Drosophila melanogaster: one gene and its partners. The protein of the gene in region 3 interacts with the protein of the main gene of each other region in a pairwise test. Each region holds a gene or a part of one and is shown on either strand. Other genes may lie near its edges.

What was found.
Region 1: the proteins of CG8813 (region 3) and CASK interact in a two-hybrid assay, tested with the Drosophila melanogaster proteins (one large-scale study listed by BioGRID).
Region 2: the proteins of CG8813 (region 3) and CG4570 interact in a two-hybrid assay, tested with the Drosophila melanogaster proteins (one large-scale study listed by BioGRID).
Region 4: the proteins of CG8813 (region 3) and ebo interact in a two-hybrid assay, tested with the Drosophila melanogaster proteins (one large-scale study listed by BioGRID).

What each region holds. Positions count from the first base shown.
Region 1 is NT_033777.3:21,819,363-21,824,823, forward strand, and holds the start of CASK (CASK), read right to left. Parts: upstream 3,313-5,461; 5' UTR 3,121-3,312; intron 1,662-3,120; 5' UTR 1,344-1,661; coding exon 1,285-1,343; intron 405-1,284; coding exon 292-404; intron 1-291.
Region 2 is NT_033777.3:10,854,458-10,858,857, reverse strand, and holds CG4570 (uncharacterized protein), read right to left. Parts: upstream 2,052-4,400; 5' UTR 1,841-2,051; coding exon 1,013-1,840; 3' UTR 792-1,012; downstream 1-791. Other genes in the region: CG14694 (uncharacterized protein), read left to right, coding at 1-18, 73-314, 377-638; CG4511 (uncharacterized protein), read right to left, coding at 3,091-3,564, 3,826-4,002.
Region 3 is NT_033779.5:2,867,730-2,871,807, reverse strand, and holds CG8813 (uncharacterized protein), read right to left. Parts: upstream 2,157-4,078; 5' UTR 2,063-2,156; coding exon 1,208-2,062; 3' UTR 1,159-1,207; downstream 1-1,158. Other genes in the region: Ifrd1 (Interferon-related developmental regulator 1), read left to right, coding at 120-804, 876-1,119, 2,258-2,485, 2,554-2,637.
Region 4 is NC_004354.4:470,063-478,653, forward strand, and holds ebo (ellipsoid body open), read right to left. Parts: upstream 6,518-8,591; 5' UTR 6,335-6,517; coding exon 6,332-6,334; intron 6,231-6,331; coding exon 5,707-6,230; intron 5,252-5,706; coding exon 5,096-5,251; intron 5,019-5,095; coding exon 4,636-5,018; intron 4,445-4,635; coding exon 4,248-4,444; intron 4,157-4,247; coding exon of another isoform or gene 4,139-4,156; coding exon 3,702-4,138; intron 3,644-3,701; coding exon 3,094-3,643; intron 3,028-3,093; coding exon 2,858-3,027; intron 2,790-2,857; coding exon 2,580-2,789; intron 2,500-2,579; coding exon 2,064-2,499; intron 1,871-2,063; coding exon 1,772-1,870; 3' UTR 957-1,771; downstream 1-956. Other genes in the region: CG13373 (uncharacterized protein), read left to right, coding at 7,085-7,229, 7,545-7,869, 7,951-8,014.

The DNA of each region.
Region 1 (5,461 bases), on a different chromosome or scaffold from region 3:
CCATGTCCTGATTCAGGCTCAGGTCCTGGCGCCCTTGCACTTGAGCAATTTCTTTTTAATTGGCGTCTTGGGCTGGCAAACGGGCAGCCCTGGGGGCGTGCTACACGTGTGGCAGCGGCATAATTTTGAATAATTGAGCAGCTTAATTATAATTTATTCACACAGCGCTCTGGAGGAGTCAGGAATCGGTAGCCCGGGGCCAAATCGAACAAGGTCGTCTCATTGTGCCGTCAAAAATAAAAGCGGAGTGTATACATATATATATAGGTGTATTGTGTATATAATCCTCACCCGCTGTGCTCAGTCCAGGACTCGCTGTGAACTTGGCCACATCAACGATTTTGACGGCAAACTGCTGATTGGACTCCCTGTGTATGCATCGCCTTACGATGGAGAAAGGTCCTCTGTAAGAAACAATCCCGGATGGGGGGGGAATAAAGTAAATTCGGATTAAACTTCAATTGAAAGTTGATTGTGTCTAAATGGGAGCGAATAAAATTTTATCTTGCTTCGACAAAAGCAAAATATTTATATTTTCCGAGCGTCTAAAAGCAAACAAGATACTTGAGAAAGAGGAAATTTAATCAACTATGTATTCTCTTTGTAGTTACAAACGTGGGGTTTTAATACAAAAGCTTGCCATAACATTACTGATGATTATTTTACAAATAAATTTTAATTTTCTTACAAATTCCTATTCAATAACTCATTTAAAGTCAAGCAACGATTTCCTATCATCTTGTTTTATGAGCGTGATTAATTTTTATTGAACTATGTCACCAAGCTGAATTTGGAAAACTATTGCGATTCAAGGTCGTCATTTTGCTTATAGTTTATAGATTATAAATTGCAAAAAATTAAAAAACGTGCTATTTAGTGACTCACACTTCATTTTCAATAAACTTTAGAAGTGTGTTAATGGAACATTTTCAACATCAGTGAAAAATATTTTTCCAACGAAATTAAACAAAGTTCAACTTAATAACATTGACAGCTTTGTGAATGAACTTCTGGCTAAACTATGATGATCACAGCAAAAGTAACTAGCACAGAAAATGTTTGGTCATACATTTTTGAATAATGCAAAAGTTGGGCGTTTGGGAAAGTTTTTTATAGAGGGGAGCTGGCTTCGTCCCAGGCCAATAGTTGCATGATTTACGGCTTCTGGGTGGGTGGGATGGGCATACGGGGCGGATACATAATACATAATGAGATAATGGCCATGGATGCCAGCTGTCAGCAGCAGAATCGGCTAAAGATATAGCCGGTGGGGCGCTAACTTACTTGCCAATGACCTCGCACAGCTCGTAGACGTCGTCAAAGAGAATTTCGTCTTCGGTCATTTTGAATAATTGATGAATTGATGCCTCGACTCAATTGCTTTTTCGAATATTGATGAGTTGTGTCCTGTTTTTCGTGTCCGTCGCTTTTCCTTCTCCCGCTTCCTTTGCCCGTCGTCGCCTACTGCCCTCCAAAAACGAACATAAAAAATAAACAAAAAACTAAGCGGCCAGTGAGCAACTCCAAAACTTTGAGCGTTTTCCTTCGGTTTCTTCTGATGATTTGTTGTTAATGGTATTGTTATTGGTGTCGTTGATTCGTTGTTGCCGCTAATGCTGTTGCTGTTTTCGTAGCTGCTGATGTTAAGAATGCATTTTGCGCTGGAAAAATATAACAAGTGAAAATGGTGAAGGTGAGTTTTTCCATTAGTTGAAGGCCGCTAATCAGATTTATTTGGCGTCTAATTAAGAAACTGTCAAGAAGCTTTGCGAGAATTCTGTCAAGCAGATGACGCAAATATAAACAAATTTGTTTACATTTGTGAAAAATTATACACAGATTTTAATCAAGAAAATTTGCTAATAATTTCCTAAATATTTTGTAATCTTACTTACAAACTAAGTTAAGTTTATAATGCTATCTGAATCAATCAAATTGAAAATGCCACTATAAAGTTGGGCTGGCGTGTTGACACTTGTGTGATGGGAACACTTTTCGAGGGACCACTGTTAATGGTGTCGCAACGGAAATGAGACTGGCCTGGCCGAAACTTGTTTGATATGTCAATCACACTCATATCAGGTGTAAACCCCAATCAATTACAGGCGGCACACACCACAAATGCACAAAATGCTGTCGAAAGTGCCAATGGTAGGAAGGAAGTATCCCCGCACAGTGGGCGTTGTGAATTTTGCAACGGAAATGATGGCCAGCTGAAAAGGTAAACAAGCCAGCAGGACCTGCAGAATGTGTCCTTTTCGAGGGTCTCGTTCCAAGGATGTTCGCGGGGAAAGTTCGCAGGGGGGGAGGGTGGATGGGAGGCGCTACCTTTGTCTTGGCCATACTATTATTATGCCTTTTGGTCCAGCACTTGAACATACTTTTCAAAACTTTGATGGCACTCCAAAAATCCGAAAGGAGAAAGCCAGAGAGCGAGAGAGTGTGAAAGAGAGCGAAGGAGTGCGAGAAAGATGGCGAGCATGGATGTAAAGTGCGCCGGCGCCGTGGGAAATTCGTGTAAAGCACCAAAATTGTAATCGTAAAAAATATAAGCTATGCTTTCTGCCCGGGCTGCATGAATATTTAAATGTGCAACAATTTACGATGCACACACGAAATGTGGAGAACTGAGTTGCGACTGCGAGAGCAGGACGGAGCATTTGCGGGGAATCCCCGCGAAGGACTTTCTGGTAGTCATGTTTAATGCAGAGCTGCGCATGGGGCGCGGTGTTTTTGGCTCGGTTTTAGTATTCGGGCTCGAGGGTTTTACCTTGCTCGTGTGCCGCTGTTGTAAAATGCCTTGACACTTTCCACACGACCTTACCGCCCACCTCACTAACGCACCCACCCACACCCACATACACTCACTCACTGACTATGTGTGTGCATTTGGCCCTGCTTTTAGGACTTTTTGAGACTCTCGAGTGTCGCACAATTGGCAAATTGATTCTTTGTCTAAAGGATTTGCATTGCTCATGTTCCACGCCCCCTTATCAACGACACCGCCCCCTTTATCGGCCACACATAGAGGGGGCCACACTCACACCACACACACACACACACACACGAACACACACTGGCACGAACAATTCGCATATAGTTTTATGTACGAAAACCCACCGATTTGGCAGCGATTCTTCAACGGCCGCTGGTTTTTGGCATTTTAGCGAATCGCATTAGCACTCGATTGTCTAGGTGCGCAGCACGAATCGCCTGGCAAGCTGATTGCATTGGGTAATTTACTAATTTTAACTTAAAACAAACACGGCCCGTGAGGAATTGATTGGCGAAGAACTGGTTGCAACTGAACCGGTTCGCCGCGAACTAGAATTCCAGGGCTGCAGGTGCATTGCTGGATTGGTTCGGAACTTGGAGTCGGTTCACGGCTCTCCCATTGAAAATTGATACCAACCTGTGTTCATTAAAAATATTGTTTTTAAAATAAATTTAAGGGTGGTACTGCAGCAACTTACTTCGTTAATCAAAGTTTTAATTCAAGAAAGTTTGTTTGAATCAAGCAACTGGTTATACTGGAAAAATACCAGAAACCCGTTGGTATCTAAGCTTTTCTGTCATTTTGTTATTAACTTTATTTGGTCTGTTAAAATTTGCGCGGAAGTTTTTGAAAAAAAGTTTTGGGGACGAGAAAGTATAATTTTGGAATATTGTTAAGAATATAGTCATTCATAACGACACAGATGTTTTATCGAAATTGAAAATAAATACTATTAAAACTTTAATTTTGTTAAAGAAAAAGTAAATTATATTTTCCTGCTCCTTTCTCTTCGGTAGCATTTTGCATATGCTTTTATTTGCTTGACTTATCAGCAAAAGGCAGTTGTTTTCCTTTGATAAATACCCACTGCATGCTTAATAAATTTACTCGAAAGTAAGATAATTCATTGCACACTGAATTGTTTCCGCTTGAGTGAAGTCAAATGGAGGTAAATATTTATGCGGTACGCAAGCAAGTGCATAAAGCTATTGTGGAATATTGCACATACGAATTTCGAACACTTTCCAGTTTTATCGGCAATACGATGCCAATTACCATTCATCAACTTGAAAGTAAACATTTTCCCCTTCAAAAATGATTCACGATTTATTTAACTGGACTAAGCCACCAGTGTGTTAATACAGGGATTTTCACTACAGAACCTTTATCAACTTACTTTATCGCCAGGCTCGTTCACAGCTCATTGAATATTACCATATTATTTACATTACTTCTCTTTCGCGCCATTCAACTTTATCTATTATTATTATTATTACCCCACAGCATTTGATAAACCCATTAGAATAAATTAAGATCTTGGCATTAATATGCCAGGCACACACACAGGAGTCCCTCAACCGAAGACGAGGAAAACCCACACGCACTCCTCGAAAATAAAAAATAAAAACCGTAGGTGCGTAATCTTTAAATCAGTTGGAAGGGGCTGGTGACGGGGGCCAATACTCAAACATAAACATCATCAATTACAAAACCTCGAACAGCAACAACAACAACAATCACCGCCAAACGCCCAACGACAACAACACACAGATAAGATGCAAGAGAAACAACAAGCCAATAAGGGAGCAACAAACACAAAACCATCAGCCAAATGAAGAAAGACCTGATGAAAATGAACTCAATATGGCCATATTACTACGGGGGATATAGTCGAAAAGGATAAGCACCAACAACCATTTCGAGATGAGCAGCAAAAACAACAAGTGTTAATGATCAGCAATAACAACAGTGGTCACCCACTAATGTCCACCTTTCGATTGTAAAATAGCAGCCAATTAAATTATACGCACTATGAAATATTCAGAAATAATAAAAAAGTAATTAATTTTTTTTTTAATTTATACAACTTCTTTCATAATTTGTGAGATCAATCAAATAGTTTGGGTATAAACTAAAAAGTACACACCTTCCTCATTCTTAAGTGGTTTTACCTACTTGTATCAGCCAGCTAAAATATATAGAAAAGAAAAAAAAATTTTGTTTTTTTATTTAAAACGCGAATCTTGAAAAATATATATATATAAAAATATTATCCAATTACCACTGTACCCTAATAAAAAAAAAGCACAAAGCGGAGATATAATACACAACTCACGGTGAGAAGTCGTAGGTCGTTGCTTTGCATTTGTTTGCTGCGTTGGTTGACAATAAAAAAAAAAAACAAAAACACCAAAAGGAACACGGTAAGCAGAGCAGAAGGAAAAAATCGGAAAACAAAAATACTCGACTCGATAAAAGGAGAACAACAAAAGGGCAGGGAAAAAGGCTCAGCCACTCAGGTGAAATCAAAATCAAATTCAACGCCAACGATCGACTCATCCCCATCCCCATCGCGGTTACCTTTCCCAGTTGCTGCCAGTTCCTTGTTTCTTGCCCCGCATATCCTCGCTCCATTCGCCGTCTCTTTCTGTGGCGATAGCCCCGTCTCTTTCCCGTCGCCGATCC
Region 2 (4,400 bases), on a different chromosome or scaffold from region 3:
TTCGAGAACGAACCAACAGTGAGTGAGTTTCAATAATCAATGGCTTTCTCATCCTTGAGATTTCCCCTGAAGATAGCCTGGAATGGAGCTGTGGACGTGGCCCTGACGCTTCTAAGCGCTGTGTTCGCCCTTCTCGCCGGTTATTTCCATGCTGGACGTCTGAACACCAGGAGCAGCCTGCTCTCGATGGCTCTGCTGTCGGTCCTGGAAGGAGGTTGTGTTTTGCTTTCCTGCTGGACCGATGATATATATCTGTCCTATCTTGGCTATGTGCTGTATGGAGGCCTGTTTGCCTTCACCATAACAGTGGCCAGGTAAGCAGTTCTTGATCCTTTTCCAACAGGTGAAATTTACCAAATCTCGTAATACCTTATAGCTCGGAGTTGGCCAGCAGCTTGGAGGAGGATAGCTTCGCTCTGGTGTTTGGTTTCAACACGTTCGTGGGACTCCTCCTGCAGTGCATCCTCACATTTGTCGTCGTCTCGGAAAAGGCCAATCTGAATTTGAATGTTTTTCAACAGTTTTCCGTCTACGCATTCTATTTTATAGTTATTGGAATAGTCTATTCTATTGCTGTTATATTGCAATATATATGGTCAATTTCGAAGAAACCAAAAGCAATTCAGGAGGCGAATTAACAACATACTCTAATGATGAAAAAGTGTTCATTTATCAAATAAAATTGTTATACATATTTAAAGTTTGTTTAATAAAATAATAATTGGCTTGTATTCTGAAACATTATTACTTTTAAGAAATATTTCCCAAGCTGTTGAAACATCGTTGATATTATATTGTTTTACACTTTATTAAAATGTATATGTTTTTTTATAGTTATAGTTTCAAAAAATGAAGATATTTAATCCTACGCCGCGAATCTAATCAGAGTGTACCATGTACATTATATGGCCACTACAAACTTAATAATATGTCAAATTAAACAAGATCATGAACGTCGTTATTTTCAATACAACATTCAAGAATCAGGGTGCGATTGGAATCCACAGCTTGGCTAGCAGAACTCGGTCTGATCCCCGCCGTTGCGGAGGACCGCTGAGACCCGCCACGTCATCGACTCGTAGAGCATCTCAATTTTGTCCACCATGTCCTGGTCGCTGTGCCAGACGTCGTACAAGACGGCTCGAAACTCGCTGACATTTTTGGGCGCCTGATTCTGAATCCTCGGCTGGATGATGGCCATCAATTGCTCGAGGAGATTGAGGTCATTGCAGACACTGCCCTCCGGTCCCATCAGCGAGTCAAGGAAGATCTCCTTTGGCGGCGTTGATTCGTCGACGAATTTAAGATCGTCCATGTTGAAGATGTTGCGCCAGTCGCGCACGGTCCAATCCTGATGGGCGGTGGCCCAGGCCAACCTCCTTTTTTTCGCCCCCTCACTGAGGCCGAAAGTGCTGGGCTCCTTCGGCTGTGGCGATCCTCTCGGTTGCCGTATGCCTTTGGAGCGAATCTCGCTGATCCTGCGCTGCAAGGTCCTGCGGCTGACCTCTATGCCGTGTCGGGCCAACTCCCGCTGCACATCGATGGAGGTGTAGTGCGGATTGTCGCTCAGCATTTGCTCGACAATTTGCCGGTTCTCCAGGACCTTGGGTCTGCCAACATCGCGCTTCTTTTCCTCCTCCTGCGCAACCGCCACGGGCGCCGCTGTTTTCAGTTTTTGCGGCAACCTCAGCGTGGCAGTCTTCCCCTCGAGCAGCTCACACTCACGAATGCAGCTTATCACGCTCTCCACGTCGCACTCCAGGATCTGGGCTATCTCCTCACAGCTGTTCGAGCCCTTCAGCGCCTTCACAATACTTCGAACTTCGGGAGCGAGAACCATTTCGAATCACTTCTGTACACCTCGAGTTTCACAATACCAATGATGGTAAATCGAATCCTCGATGGGCGTTTTATGCACCTGGCAGGTAAAAGTTTTTGCACCGATTTTGACGATAGTCTGGACCGTAGTTTTATGGCGAGCAAGCTGCAATTGGCGGGATTACGGCGTCATTACAGGTAAATTCAGTTGGCGTCCCTTTTTGTCTTTGGCGGCCATTCCGTTATTCGTCTGCGGCAAGACTGGCAACCCTTGTGTTAAGGGAGGATTTTCGGAATCTCATGATCAGCTGTTCGGGGAAATACCATTACTTTAACTGCAGCGTAGTTTGTTCAAACCTATTATTTCAGGATTATTTCATTCAAAACTATTTAACCCGATGATCAGTTCTGTGTTTTCCAAGTAAGGTTTAATAATATCGATAAATGATGAAAATAATAAGTTCTTAAAGAAATTCTAGTCTTTTTGTTAAAAAGTCATATTTTAATAAAAAGCTGCCTTTCCCGTGTATGATTTAAATAAAATATTACCAAGAGTACGATCTGAAATGCAAAAAACCTGTGTGGGAACCATTTAAGTTTACAACCAATTACCAAGCGCTTGCAATTGTTTTGAACATGCTATTTAATCGTTGATTTCCTTTGATGCTTTGTAGAATTACAAAAATAAATATAAAAACTTGTACATATGTAAGTGTTAGTTACCTCTACTGTAGGAAATGCAATACACCTTTTATCGAAATTTTAAAAATATATATATGCCAGATATTTAGTTTCTTGTCTTTTATGCTCTGTGTATGTTAGTTTCTTGTTTTACGTACACCGTTTTCTGGAGGGCGAGGGCAGTTTGTAAAACTATGCTCAACTTAACATATATACGCAAAGGGTGCACATTCATTTGGAATTGCAAATACCATAAAGATCAAATTTTGAGTTCGCTTAAGCTCGCTAGAGTGGCGCAGCCTTCGAGGCAGCTGATTGAACTGATAGATATTAAAGCACATAATCGGGGGGGAAGGCAACCGAATTAGCCACTTACACTAGGTGGCGATGGGACCGTAGCAGAGGGATCGGAATCGTATAATTAAATAAATAACGCTAGAGTACGCCTAATTGGTTTAGATCCATGTGCTAGGTTTTGATTTGTGTGTGTCCGTTTTTGTTACTCCATCGCTTTTGAGTGTATCTTGTGTGGGAGTGTGGAACGAAAGCTGGAGCTTGGGTAATCGAGAGTGTGGGATGGACTGCCCGTAGTTAGTCATCCAGATCTATATCGGAGTCATCCGAGTCGTAGCCTCCACGTATTGTCTTCTGTGGGCGGTTGATGAATGGTTTGCGTTTCACATCTGGTGGCTGCATCAGATCGCCCTTGTAGTCAATGGCCCCCGAGTGGGCGATGCGCCACTCCAGCATTTCGGTGGCGAAGTCGTCGCAGTTGCCCAGATCGGTGAATCCGACAATGAAGTCCTTGGTCTTGCTGTCCTTCACCAGGGCGATGGTGGGTATCACCTTGATGCGCAGTCGCTGGGTGAGGAATGGAGTCTTTTCGGCATTCACCTTGCAAAACTTGGCCTCCACGTGCTTGGCCGCGAGGATCTTCAGGTGCATGTCCACGATCTTGCAGCGCTCGGTGCTGTCGCGGTAAAAGTGGCAAACAATGTTGGGCGACTTTTTCGACATCTCGAAGAACTCTTTTTCGTCGGCCAGCTCGGTGTAGGTGCCATGACCCTGGAAAAGATTAGCAATTTTGGGGATTAATGAGATTGTTGCGCTAACAAGGTTTTCTTTGAAAGTTAATTTTTACATATATATTTAAGTTTTGAGCTATTTAAGCTGGTAGCCCAATTTGAAAACTAATTTGAATTAATCGAAGCAAGTGTCGCGAATGTCTTAAAAGTCGCATGTTGAATACCATTTGGTCATATACCACTTAGAGAACAATCTCGAAGTATCTTCAATAATTGAGTGTTGTAAGAGATGATCACCTACGTTTCTGAGCCACTCCTGCTTCTTGTTGTTCAGGTCCTTCATTTCGCGGAGCCGCTGCTCCCGCAGGACCTTTAGGTCATCCGAATCGAGGTTGTCCAGGCGGTCGAGCTGCTGGTCCAGCTGCTGCTCGATGGTCTTGGCGGCCGTGAACAGTTGGTTCTCCAGGATGTTGGCCATGTTGTCCTCTTCCAGTTGCTGCTCCTCTGCGTGTCTTGATGTTTCTCCGTTATTTGCACTCTGCGTGTGGTGTGTTCGTGTTGGCGTCAATGGTTGCGCGTGTGTGCGTGTGGATCCGGCACAAATGGAAAGGCGTAGTCATGGAGCCGCAGATGCGTCATGTTTTGTGGAAAATTCAGTTAAGTAAGGCATGTTTTGGGGAAAGCGCAGCGCATTTCGATGGAGGCGCCCACAAATCGATTATTTAGACGGTACTCACCTTTTATTTTCACTTATTTCATTGATTTTACTCCTTAAAAGTTTATTTAGACGTATGGATTCGTGTGACCGTTTGACTTTACATTGGAAAATACAAAAGGCTCCTTAATGTTCAAAATACCATGACAGTATTATTTCCC
Region 3 (4,078 bases):
GGCTCACAGGTCGCATTAGCATAATAAATATTTATGAATTATGCTTGAAAAACTCGCTGAGTATAGCAAAATACTTCAAAAAAAAACCTTATTAATTACCCAAATGATTTCTTTTTCAGGCCGCACCAATGACTCCAATTCTGAGGACGAGTCCTTTGACAATGTGAGCGTTTACTCTCATATGTCCGAAGTCGCATCCTCGGAGGCCACCGACGAGCTGGCCAATGAGCGTTTCGAGGAGAAGTTCGAGAAGGCCCTGGAACAGGCCACCGAGAAGTCGGCCCAGACACGTGTGCAGGCTCTGCAAGCGATTTGCGAACTGCTCATGCACCGCTACATGCCGGACTTCGTGGAGGACCGCAAGATGACCCTGATGGATTTCGTGGAGAAGAGCATCCGTCGAGGCAAGGGCCAGGAGCAGGTGTGGGGCGCACGACTCGCGCCCCTGCTGGTGCTCCAAATGGGCGGGGATGAAGGCATATCCAAGGCGATGAATCAATTCCTGTTGAACACCGTTCAGGACAAGTCCGTGGGCTTCGATGCCCGTGCCAAGTGCTGCACAGCTGTGGGATTGTTGAGCTTCCTGGGCTGCGAGGATGTTGGGGAGTTGGTACACCTGATGCAGAGCTTCGAGGCCATCTTCGCAGGCAGTTATTTGCGTGGCGATGACAAGACACCGGTATCCGTCACCGCCGAAGCTGGGACTTTCCATGCGGAGGCCTTGAACGCCTGGGGGCTTCTACTAACACTTATACCTTCGGGGGATTTTGTTTCGTTGATGACCACTGGCCAAAACATGTTTCCGTAAGTTTGAAGAGCAAGTTCCATTTAACTTTCAAACCCATTGCTATAATTGTTTAAACTAAACTTTGCAGATCTATTAAGAAGTTCTTGGGTCTCTTGCAATCTACACATTTGGACGTCCGCATGGCCGCTGGCGAGACCATTGCTTTAATTCTGGAGTCGGGACGTGCTCACGAAGAGGATTTCCTAGAAGATGACATCGCTGAGTTATCGGAGGCCGTCAAGCAGCTGGCCACGGATTCGCATAAGTACCGCGCCAAGCGCGATCGCAAGGCCCAGCGTGCCACCTTCCGTGATGTGCTGCGATACCTGGAGGTGAGTTGAAGATTTGCACGAGTGCTACGCTTAAACAATAGGGATTACATTTATTTATTTGACTCGAGATGCACTAGTCTTTGGACGATTACTTCATGTCAGTGCAAGTGAACTTGAGCTCGTGCTTGCAGTACTTGGCCAAGCACTTGGAGTGATCGTGCAACTTGTTGCGCATGATGACGCAGCCGTTCCGGCTTATCGAGTCCATGTACTCGCTGAAGGTCGGCACCTTCCGGTATGTGGTCGGGGCGGAGTTCCAGTGCGAACTGCTGCCGGATTCGATGGTCTGCGAGGAGTCCGAGAAGCTGGTCTTGAATGGCTTGTAGTTCTTTTGGCACTCGTCGCTAGACATCTCGTAGCCAGCGGACGCCTCCCGCTCCAGTTCGTTCATCACGTTCGAGCGGAACTCGTTGCAGGGTCCACGTTCGCTCATCAGCTTGTTGGCGTTCTTGGACTCGTCCTCCGTCTTTAGGCTCTCATAAATACCCTCCGGGTACTCGTTCATGTTACAGTAATCGATCTGATAGGTGGTGTTCATACGGTTGGTCTCCAGCCTGCGGCTCAGCTCCTCCTTGGGCATGACCTTCAGGCGTTCATACAGATCCGGGTAGACTGTACGTAAGATCTTGAGAAAGCGGTTGGGTTGCAGCTTAAAGCAATCTGTTTCCGCGGAGAAGGCCATCTTGTCCACCTGGTCCTGAGTCAGCTGGGTGGGTATGATACGCGGATCCACCAGCTTTCCCATTGGCGCTATGCCCGTCCACTCGACGCCGCCACAGTCCTTAGACGCGTTCGGCGGCATCATGATCTTGGACTCGTCGACGCATTCGCACTCCTTGACCTGCGGACCACTGTGAGCCTCGGCGCCCCTGGGCCGCGTTAGAAACTCGTACCGTTTGGCACTGGGCGGGACATAGTCGTGCTGATAGGTTGATAGCATCATCTTGATAACGAAATCTACAAAACTAATTGGCCAAAACAATTTTTTTTAGTAGTTTTTTTTTTTTTAACGAGAAATTTGGTCTGTTTGATCTGATAGAGAAACTAATAGTGATACATTTCAAAATCGTACGAAATGAGATTAGAATATTTGCTCGTAGCCTAGCCTGATTTTAAAGTTTTTTTTATCTCGTTGCAGGAGGACATTTCCCCAGAGATTAGCATTCGTTTCGGTACCGAGTCGCTGACACTAGATTCCTGGTCCATCCATCATCAGTATTCGGCCATGTGCACTGTCATGGGTCCCGGGATGACCTCGCAGCTGCAGGAGAACGAGTTCATCCGTGACATCTTCCAGCTGGGACCACGACCCACGAACACAGGCATCAATGGAAACGCCAAGGTCAAGCCGACCAAGCTGGAGCGGGTAAGTTGATTGAAATGTGTTAACATTCGCTTCAAATTTTAATATATTTATATTTGTTGCTTTTGCAGCACCTTGTGAATGCTGCTGCATTCAAGGCACGCTCCATAACACGTGGAAAGAATCGTGACAAGCGATCGGCCGTCGTCACTTAAACCTGTGCTTCACCCACCAACCGTTCCCATCCACAGACACCCAAACCAACCATCTCAAACCCCGTTAGCCAACTCTGGACTTACTAGTTGAATTGTTTCTAATTTTAGCTTGAACCAGGCAAAGCGTCGCCAAAGCTGAAGAACTAAGTCTAAATTTAGGATAATTCAGTGTAATCTACAAAATTTCTCTAGTTTATTAACCACATGTTGGAGCCATTGTTTGAATATTATGAAATATTTATTGCGTGCACGCACAGTGGTTGTTTATCAGTAAGTGCATGGCTGGCTCCAGCTTGGATCTTATTCTTTGTGAATTTAAATTAACACTGCGATTGTTACGACTGGCATTTACGCTTTGCGATTTGGGTTAACCTCTTTTGTTGTTGATCTTTTTAAATTACAAGCGTAGGAAAACATAGTCTGCTTTAATGCTGCGAAAAAGTTATTCATAACTTGACATGGCTTTTAATACGCATAATAAGCGGCTCTATGAATACATATATTTTGTAGTAAATAAGTGTAAAATAAAGTTTAGGCTTAAACGAAAACTACTTGAAATGCATTCTTACTGGTGGGGATACAACAATGGACTCCTTTTTAGAAAACACTTAAAAAACAGTTTGCGTTTTATAAATTGTATTTTATTTGTTAGTTTTATCACAAAAATTGTATGGTAACTTAAATTGTATGTTGGATTCTTTCCTTTTGTGGATTTTGTTTTGTTTTTCTTTGCTTTGACAAATTTTGTGTAGTAACTACAATAAAATTTATATATATATATTATATATGTTCGTGTGTATGTATATATGGGCGCAGCTTATACAAATCAGTTTCTTAAGGAGTAAACTTAAAGGTTAATAAGAAACGTATTTCCATCAAGTACAAATTAAAAACTTGTTTGCTTAATTTAATATTCGCCAAGTACTCGTGTTTTGCTTGCTTCTTGTTTGCATCCATGGATGAAACCGATAATGAAATGAAGGAAATCAAAATGCTTTCATAATTTAGGTGTAAATAAAAGAAAACTATAAACTATAAATCAGCATGGGGACTGACTCACTGGCGCATCTAAGCACTATCTTCTCGCTTATTCGCTCTTCAGGCTACTTGGCAACGCGTTCGTAATCATAATCTCAGGATGTTCTCGTTTCTGTTTCCGTTTCCGTTTCGCTTTCGCAATTGATACTGACCTACACTTATTCTACGTAATATTTGGCTTCTTGTAATACACTTTGCTTCTGGAAATCTGCATGATAATTTGAGAGACGAAATTCACTCGTTAATCGAAACGCTTTTCGCTACTCTTCTTGTCTACTCGCTAGAGATTTAAACCTATGTACACGGTTGAGGATAGAAAGGCGGGTGCTAGGACCCACCTCGCGTGTGATGTGTAAACTAATAATTGAGCATTGAGCAAAACCTGTGCAAAACGCATGCTAAA
Region 4 (8,591 bases), on a different chromosome or scaffold from region 3:
AAGTATGCAAAAGGAAATATCGAGTGAGTAAACAAGAGAGTATGTAAGCCACAGACAAAGAAAAGGAAGCTGTCTCTTTTGTGGACCTCGTCCGCAACATCCTCCAGCTCCTCCATCGTTATCCGATTGTTTTTATAAGTGATTCTTATTACCATTTATTTTTATGGCATTTTGATTATTTGAGCGCGTGCGCAAGGCATAGTAATTAAACATATAACATTTAACGTTATACTCATAGGTCTATGTTTATAGGAAATCCTATTAGTAATAGTTTGCAATGATTAAGGTTATGGATGTTGAAATGATAAGCAATTTATTGAAAATAAGTTGCCTATAGCTTACCTGAGATTCTAATTTATTTATAAATTGCCTCTGTTGCTTGATTTAATACAATGAAATAACACGACCGCTATTTACATATGTACATATGTATGTACATCACATGTAAAAGTAACCGTAAGCTACACCGAACATTTGCGTCAGATATTTAACAGCATTTATTGAAACCACAGTTACAAAAACTGTAAGCGACACCGAAAACACACTACGAAAACCTCTAACAATGGTTTTTAACTAATTTCGCCGTTTTATCACTAATCGTAGTCCAACCGAATGTAGGCCTCCAATATCAAACTGCACTCACCAAATTGACCGGAATAACTGAAATCACAGAGTGTAGTCAAAATAAAGTTACATTTCAGGCAACTTTAGAACAAAGTAACGGGATTAAAAGCTCGAACAGTCGATAGTTGATGTAGTGGAAAAGGAAAGGGAACAAAAGAGAGATGAAAGATAACTGTTTCATAATTCGATCTCTTTTATATACATACATGTCTACCTATGTATGCATAGTATGAAAAGAGAGCAAAATTTGCATTTGCTCCTATAAAGCCACGTGCCACCCATCGTTTTATAACTGATTATACTAACTAGACTTTAATAAATGTCATGCTAATCAAATACATATCTAATTGCGAACAACTGGCGAATAAAATGGTAAAAATAGTTTTATTGGACTTTTGATTGCAGGACTTAAGCAATTATACATACATACATACATTCATACATAGTTCAAATCATTACAACGGACTTTAAACGCCTTGAATTTACTTTTGGTTGGTGGTGGTGTTAGGTTTTCCCGAAATAAATTACATACATAATTTCGTACCTGGGTTTTTCGGCCCTTCCAGCTATTTTCTTACTTGATACTTTATACTTGCTTACAACGTAACTGATTTACATGTTGAGATATGCTAATTAATTTATGGATATAAATGTATATGCTACTAAGATATATGTAGGTATGTATATGTAGTATGACTTTTATCGAGTTGCGGTGACAGCACAGAAAGCAGAGTAATCGTATATTCGTTACGTGGTAGACATAAAACTAAAGATAATAATGCACTTAAATCTATGTACGAAGCTTGTTTTAAGTTAACATTTAATGTCTTTTTCAATCGGGACGAATGCTGAGCTTTCTAAACAGAAATACAACATCGCACAAGGAAGAACCAAACGCAATCTGGTGGGATGGTGTTAGAACATAGGGCTTTGGGGACACGGCCCACAAGACAAAGGACCTGAAGTAGATGACAGACAGTATCGGGAAATATGGCATGCAAAATGCGACAGCATATTACATTTAAAAGTTACAAAAATAAAACAATATAGTACTTTATATACATGCAAGAACCTAATCGTATGCGGCCGTGGTTTACGGAACAAGGATGGGGAGCTGTTAAAGTCCCGCGCTTGAGGGAAGGAAGGCCTACGCCGTCTCATTGAGGTGCACGCAGTGGGCGTCCTGCATGAGCTGCGTGAGTTTCTGCGTAAACGTTGGAATGTCCTGAACAATAAAAGGTAGTACCTATTAAACGCAAAGTCAGTCATGGAAGAGTCACCACCACTTGCAATTTTGTGTTTATATTGATTGAAACAATTGAAACAAGTCGACATGGACAGTAAGATTGTAACAGAATGCTTAAATCATAAATGGAAGACAGTTTCTTTTTTTGCCTTGCAAGTGGTGTCGATCCCTTTATATTCAGTATTTGACTCACATTTGTCTGGCAGATCTCCTCCAGCGACGTCTGAGCCACTGGCAAAGAGGCGTGAACGAAGCTCTCGAGCAACTGGCGTCGGTCCACCTGGCCCATAGCATACAACGCCTGGGCAATCATGTCGAAGTGGAGGGAGCCCTCTCCACTCAACAGCAGATTGAGCAAGGCCCGCTGAAATGAAGCCAGCAGTTGCTCCTTGAACAAGGCGCGTTGGTACAACCGACTCCTCTCATTCACATTTTGCATTGAGAAGAGAACGCTGCGCACATTGCTCGGATCAGTCCCACTGACCAGCATCTGGCCATACGCATTCAGGATGGCCATGAAGTGTGCTGGATGCAGGTTGTCGCTGCAGTTGAAGTTGCCGGAGCCACCACCGCTGTGACCATTGGAGAGCTGATTTTTGTAGAAGAACTGCCACTTGCAGGTGAGGACACTAAAATGGAGAAAGGGCGTTAATTCATGACGACACAAGACACAAGTACAATTTATTTTAATTTATGCAGCATCACGCACCTATCAAACAAAGCGTACAACAGGCTAGTGATCTCGCTGTTATCGGTTGCCGCATTTTGCTGCTGCAACAAGGGCAGAATCTGCTGAGTGCTAAAATCTAAAATGGAGGGAAGCAGCCCCAAGGAGGCGCTCCCTGGCTGCTCCACGATCAACTTGAACATCTGCAGTATTTTTTCCATCACAGCCAGTCGGCTCAGAGTCAGTTGCTCCCTGGAGACAGAAAGAGATGGCATCATTAGTAAGCACTCACACTGTAAAGAAAGAGATGGGAGACCCACCTACTGCTGACACTTATGAACAAGGTGATCATTTCCTTAATGAACTGGGCCCCCAAATGGGTGGGCAATGTTCGGAGCATGCTCAGGCTAAACTCGGCCACCGTGATGGCCATGGCGATGCTGCTTTGCCCAAAGTTGTTAAAAATCATTAGGGCCTTTGTTAAAATAGGCTGGAAAACAAAAAACGTTAATAGATTAGGATAGGATGTTTAAATTTACTTAAAAAAATAAGGCACCTTGAAAGTGCTTGCCAGCATATCCTTGGCATTGCCTCCAGTAGCTTTAAAATACTCAATGAGAGCAGTGAAAGTACCCAGCAAACTGAGCGTGGTGGCCGCCACCTTGCTCTCGTTGGCCTGGCCTAAGTCCAGATCCAGAAAGTTCTGTGCCAGCCCCTGGACATATTCACGCAGCATCCAGAGACGCCTCGGATACTCCTGCTGCTGCTCCGGAACGCTTTTCCACGGCAGCACCATGTAGCTGACCAGACTGATGTGTACATTGATGCACACCTGACGCGGCAATTGGGCGCCCAAGCGAGAGCCTGCCTGCAGCAGGCTTTGGATTTGTGGTATATCCAGCAGGCACTTGGGCCGTATCACAGTCGATATGAAAAGCAGCAGCTCGCTTGCCGCCTGCTGCACAATGGGGGAGGCAGCCGTTAAGGATCCATTGCATGCGAAAATGCTGCCCAGGATAGCAAACAGGCGGTGCAGCAGTTCCTCGCCGCTCATGGCTTTCGTTAGCGGAAAGATGCTCCTCATGGCCAGTAGAACTTGAGCGTATCTGAAGGATCAAGAAAGCATAGTATCACATACATCATGCAAAGGGATGCCCCACTTACAGGTTGTCCAAATCAGTCTGGAAAGTAGCTTTGTCCATTTCGCTGCCGCCGCTATACAAACGATTGCTTGCGAGGAGCTGTAGAGTCTGCAGCAAACTGTCGGACAGCATCTGCAGCTGGCACTCCATCTCATCAGCAACCCCGGGTGCTGCTGTTGATGAGTCCATCAATGGGGCCAAACGCACGACCGCCTGGCAGACGGTGGCAAAGTCGCGCAAAATCTCGCCCACATTGGCGCCCTTCAGTTTACGTGCCGCTTCGTAGCTTCGAGCGCTTCCGTGGTCCAATGCGTGCTCCAAGGACAGTAAATACATCTGTGGCCGTGACCAGTGGTTATAGACCTGTGCGAAAACGATGTGTGCACCTCTGGTGTTGGCCAGTAGGGCCAGGGACTCGAAGCATTGGTCTAGAAACTGCTGCCACTCAGTGGCGGAGGTCTGAAATTGGATGAATGTCTAGATAAAATGAAGATCGTTCTAATGCAAGGTCTATTTCTTGGTTTTTGAAATTTGTCACCTAAAAACACTTTAAATCAGAGCTACTTACATCGTCCTCCATGAGCTCGTTGTCCAGCACTTCTAGCTCGGGTTTGTTGGCCTCAAACTGAGTGCGCCTCATAATCTCATCTACTAGCTGGGTAAGCACATTGTTATAACGCGTGATTTTGGCGGGGTGCTGGGCAATGCCTTTGATGATGGGTGTCCAGATCTCAAGCTTTTCGGTGAAGTCCAAGGCGCCGTGTACTGTTTGGGGAATACAAAATTAATAACTTTTGTTATATATCTTTGTCAACGACATTTCGAAATCTCGATCACGAGATGCACATAACCCATTTAATATTGCGAGTGTTTTATGACTACACAGCAAAAAGATCATCTCAAAATAAAAAATAAGTTAGCATCTCAAAAGGCAATATTTTTATCACGCGACTCACATTCAGTGGTGCAGCTGTATAGCAGATTGAGAAAGGTCTCCAGCAGGTCTGGCTCCTGCATCAGCTTGGCGGCATACTTGGTGGTGTAGAGGCGCAGCAGCTCCCGAAACTTGTCGCTGTACATCTCGCTCTGCCGCCGATTGTTATTGTGCTGCTCCAGGAGGCTGGTAACGCCGCCCATCAAGGGTCCTGGGAAGGGCAGTGGCTTCTGGAGGTAGAGGAGCTCATTCAACACAGAGAGAGCCGCCAAGGAGATGGGCTCATGGGCTGGTCGCCACTGGGAAAGGTCAAGTATGCTCATAAGGAAGTACTCCGAGATCAGTTCAGTGCGTATCCAGGAGACCAAGTGCTGCACACATCCTAGCAGGTCCAAAATTGAGGAACTGCGGAGTATATAGAGAGATGTTATAACAAAATGTTGTAATGAACATATGCTCTTTTGAATGTTATGATGACCCACCTTAATTGATTGTCATTTGGCAGCGCTGAGGTTAGACTAAAGTCCATGAGGGTGTTTGGTATGGTTGTTTGGATGTCTTTGCCATTGATGTGGCATACAGCGATTAGCAGATACTTGGTTACCAGGTCCAGAACATCGGGTACACACATGGAGATGCTACAGAAACACACGGCAAAAGGGAGCACAAAATGGGTTAGGAACAGTGCTGTGGCAACTGACCAGTAATTATAGTGCTTTCTCTCAACAAAGCAATATAATATGATAACTGGGTTAACGGTTCAATTAGTTGAGTTTTAAGAGGTCAGCTGACTTTAGTTGTTATGCCATATACATACTCAATCTCAATATAACACTTATTAATAAACCAAAAACAAGAACGGACTGACAAGGTCTGGGATTGTGTTATTCTATGTTGTGCGACGCAATCGTGTATTTAAACAAATAACACCAAAGTTAATAATAAAAATACGCTATGCTCGAAAACATCGACCATCTGATACGCCGTACTCAGTTAAAAATCCAAGTAGTCTTAAACAGACATTAAAAGTATGGGACTACAAAACCTTTTTTAAAAAACATACGATTTTAGCCTCTTCGCTCTATTTACCCACCAGGAGTAGAAGTACTGCTTCCATTCGGTGGTCAGGTCGCCCCTGTTGCTTACCACCTCCTCGGAGGTGATCTTAAGCAGGTTGATGCCAAGTTGAAACCGTGTTTTTGTCAGTTCCATGCAGTGTTGCATGTAATTGGGGTCCTGTTCAGGGAACTCCCTCTTTCCGAGTAGGGCTATCAACTGGGCCAGTGTGTCCCTGTGCCGTTTGGCCACATTTGGAGTGGCTACCAGTTGGGCATACGAGTTCCAAAGGGTCTCCCGCAGCAAAGTCTTGTCCGTGGACGTCAACTGTGTCCATCTCCGCGTGATTGTGTGCTCCAAGGTTGAGGTGCTGAAGAACCAGAGGAACTGATTCTCCGTGGTGTCGGAAGAGGTGGCCACACGGAGGCAAAGTTGCCACGCCTCTGGCTGGGACTTGAAGGCCAAGAGGTTTGTCTCGATCTCTCGTTTCCGGGCATTGGAGGTGCTGGGCTGATAAAACTCCTGCAGCAGTCCCTCCACCGTCGTCAAAGATGCGGCGTGCTGCACAGACAGTGGGTGGGTGGAAACCAATTCCCGGTTAGGTGGAATCACTCTGAATCACTGGCAAAATAGTGCGTTTGGCCCGGAGCCCCCCGCCTCACCATTTTCCGTGTCCTTTACGATCCTTCCGAGTATCTGTGATCTGGATGTTACGGTCACTGTGAGCTCCGCTTGCTCGCGGTTCTAATTCCGATCGCATCAGCAGTCGGCGTCCATTAATTGCATGGTTTTCTTTGTGTCTTTACACAAAAGGTGGCCAAAATCTACTCCGGGAAAGTGAACAAATTCCGCACGGCTGGCAACCCTGGCCGATAGTCAATAAATATCGATAGTTGTTGGTTATGGGTATTTTGAAATAAAAAAATTCTACCTTTCTTATTTTAATTACCTAAAACAAAATTTTTTTTAAATAAAATTGGCTATATAAATGTTTCAGCTAAAACTACGAGCGAGCAGACAAGCATCCAATTCAAATCCATAGTTATACAAATATATATATATATATATATATATATATATTATACAAATGTAATAAATTTTATATTTTCAGTCATTTTAATCTGATAAATTAAAAATGCTGGACTATTCCAAACAGCTCATAACCAGAAACATTTTGAATTTTCCGCCTAACCGCAAATTCGATCGATAGACGATAAAAAAATTGATCGCAGTCGGCGCTTTTGTATGTATTTTTTAATATGGTAGCACTATTCTAATAAGGCAATATTGTTAGCAAAACGGGACACTGATTAACTGTTAGCCTGCAAGTTAGGAAACCTGAAAGTAAAGGATTTTCAATTGATATTTCAAGACGTTCCTATCCGATCTGCCCAACAATCTGCCAGTATCTCATCATGGAAAACCAGGTCCGTAAAAAGGCGGCAAAACGATCGCGATCAGCGGATGGCGACGCCAACAACAATCTCACGCAGCGGAAGGTATTTGTGAACCAGAAAATGTGCGACTCCCGTGATCCTCGGAAGATGAAGGAGGTCCATGGTATGTAAATTGCCTTATTCGCACCAACTTATCTTGTTTCGATCCTGTAATGGAGGGGTGGGAGATTGGAGAGATAGCGCCGCTCAGAGCGCAGTTATCCCGGACTTGTTGCTCACTTCAGTTTGAACAGTTAGACGCGAGAACAAAAAATTGAGCAAAGCAGCGACCTCTAATTTACGATGAATTTACGCATAAATTTTTTTTTTTAATTTTTTTCTTGCTGTTCTTTTGCACGTCCCATCGAAGCTGAGTGTCTAACCCTCCTTTAAGTGTCTAACTCAACTGGAACTCTCCGATTTTCTATTTCTTTCGCAGAGAAGACAATCAAAATGCTTTTCGATGGCGCAGCCGGCAATAGGCAGGGTCAGGGCCAGAATGCCCTGAAGCCATTGGTACAAGGCCAGGAGGAGCCCGCCCTATGCGAGCAGTACTATCTGCTTGGCGATGGTTCCATCGTTCTGCGCAACCTTCGCACCGACTTGTCCAATCCGCGCCTGGAGAGAGTGAAATCGCGCTGCTGCCAGCGCCAAACGCTCATCCACGACATATGCGTCAACTGCGTGATGGATCTCTGCGAGGAGTGTGGCTACTCCTGCGGCGAGTGCTCCAGGTTCATTTGCCGCAGCTGCGTGACTTTATTGTGAGTTAAGTCCTTAAAAGAAGCATCCCCCTTGGGAACACCTTTTATTTGAAAATCAATCGACCATCATCTTATTTCCAGTGGTAATCGAGTTGAAGAAGAGAAGGATCCCCTGTGCGAGCACTGCCAGATGTTCTTCAGCTAAGGCTTTACACAATCCAGCACTTATAAAGTCGCGGTGCTTGTTAAATTTTAAGTTCTGAAGCAGTACAAATTTGGGACGACACAATGTCAAATGTATTACCAACCAGCTCCGTTTCACTTATGTCCTGTAACTGCTTTCTTTCCGGCCGATAGCCTGGATGAGATCCTGGCACAGGAGACTGGGCTGGGCTGCTCGGTCTGACATCAGGTTACTGTGTTCTTTTAACAGCACAATCAGGTTGTCTGTGAGTGCATTATACAGATCCACAAATAGCTGCCAACTGCCGCCGTGGCTGATCAAGTACTTGATGTCTACATCCAACATGCTGCCAAGAAGGCAATCCAGGGACTCTCCTGTGAGAGGGACCGTACGATTCCCGGCCAGATTGCGCTGGGCCTCTAGGAGTCATAGGGCATGACCAGAATATGCCAAGTCTTTGGGTTCCGGTTGAAATGGTCATTAAGGATCTAAAGAGAACATTATTAACTAGGGAAGGAGAATAAGGTACTGGGGAAGACTCACCGCTCCCTTCACGCTGCTCAACGAGCATTTGGCAAAGAGCCAAAAGAGTTAGCAC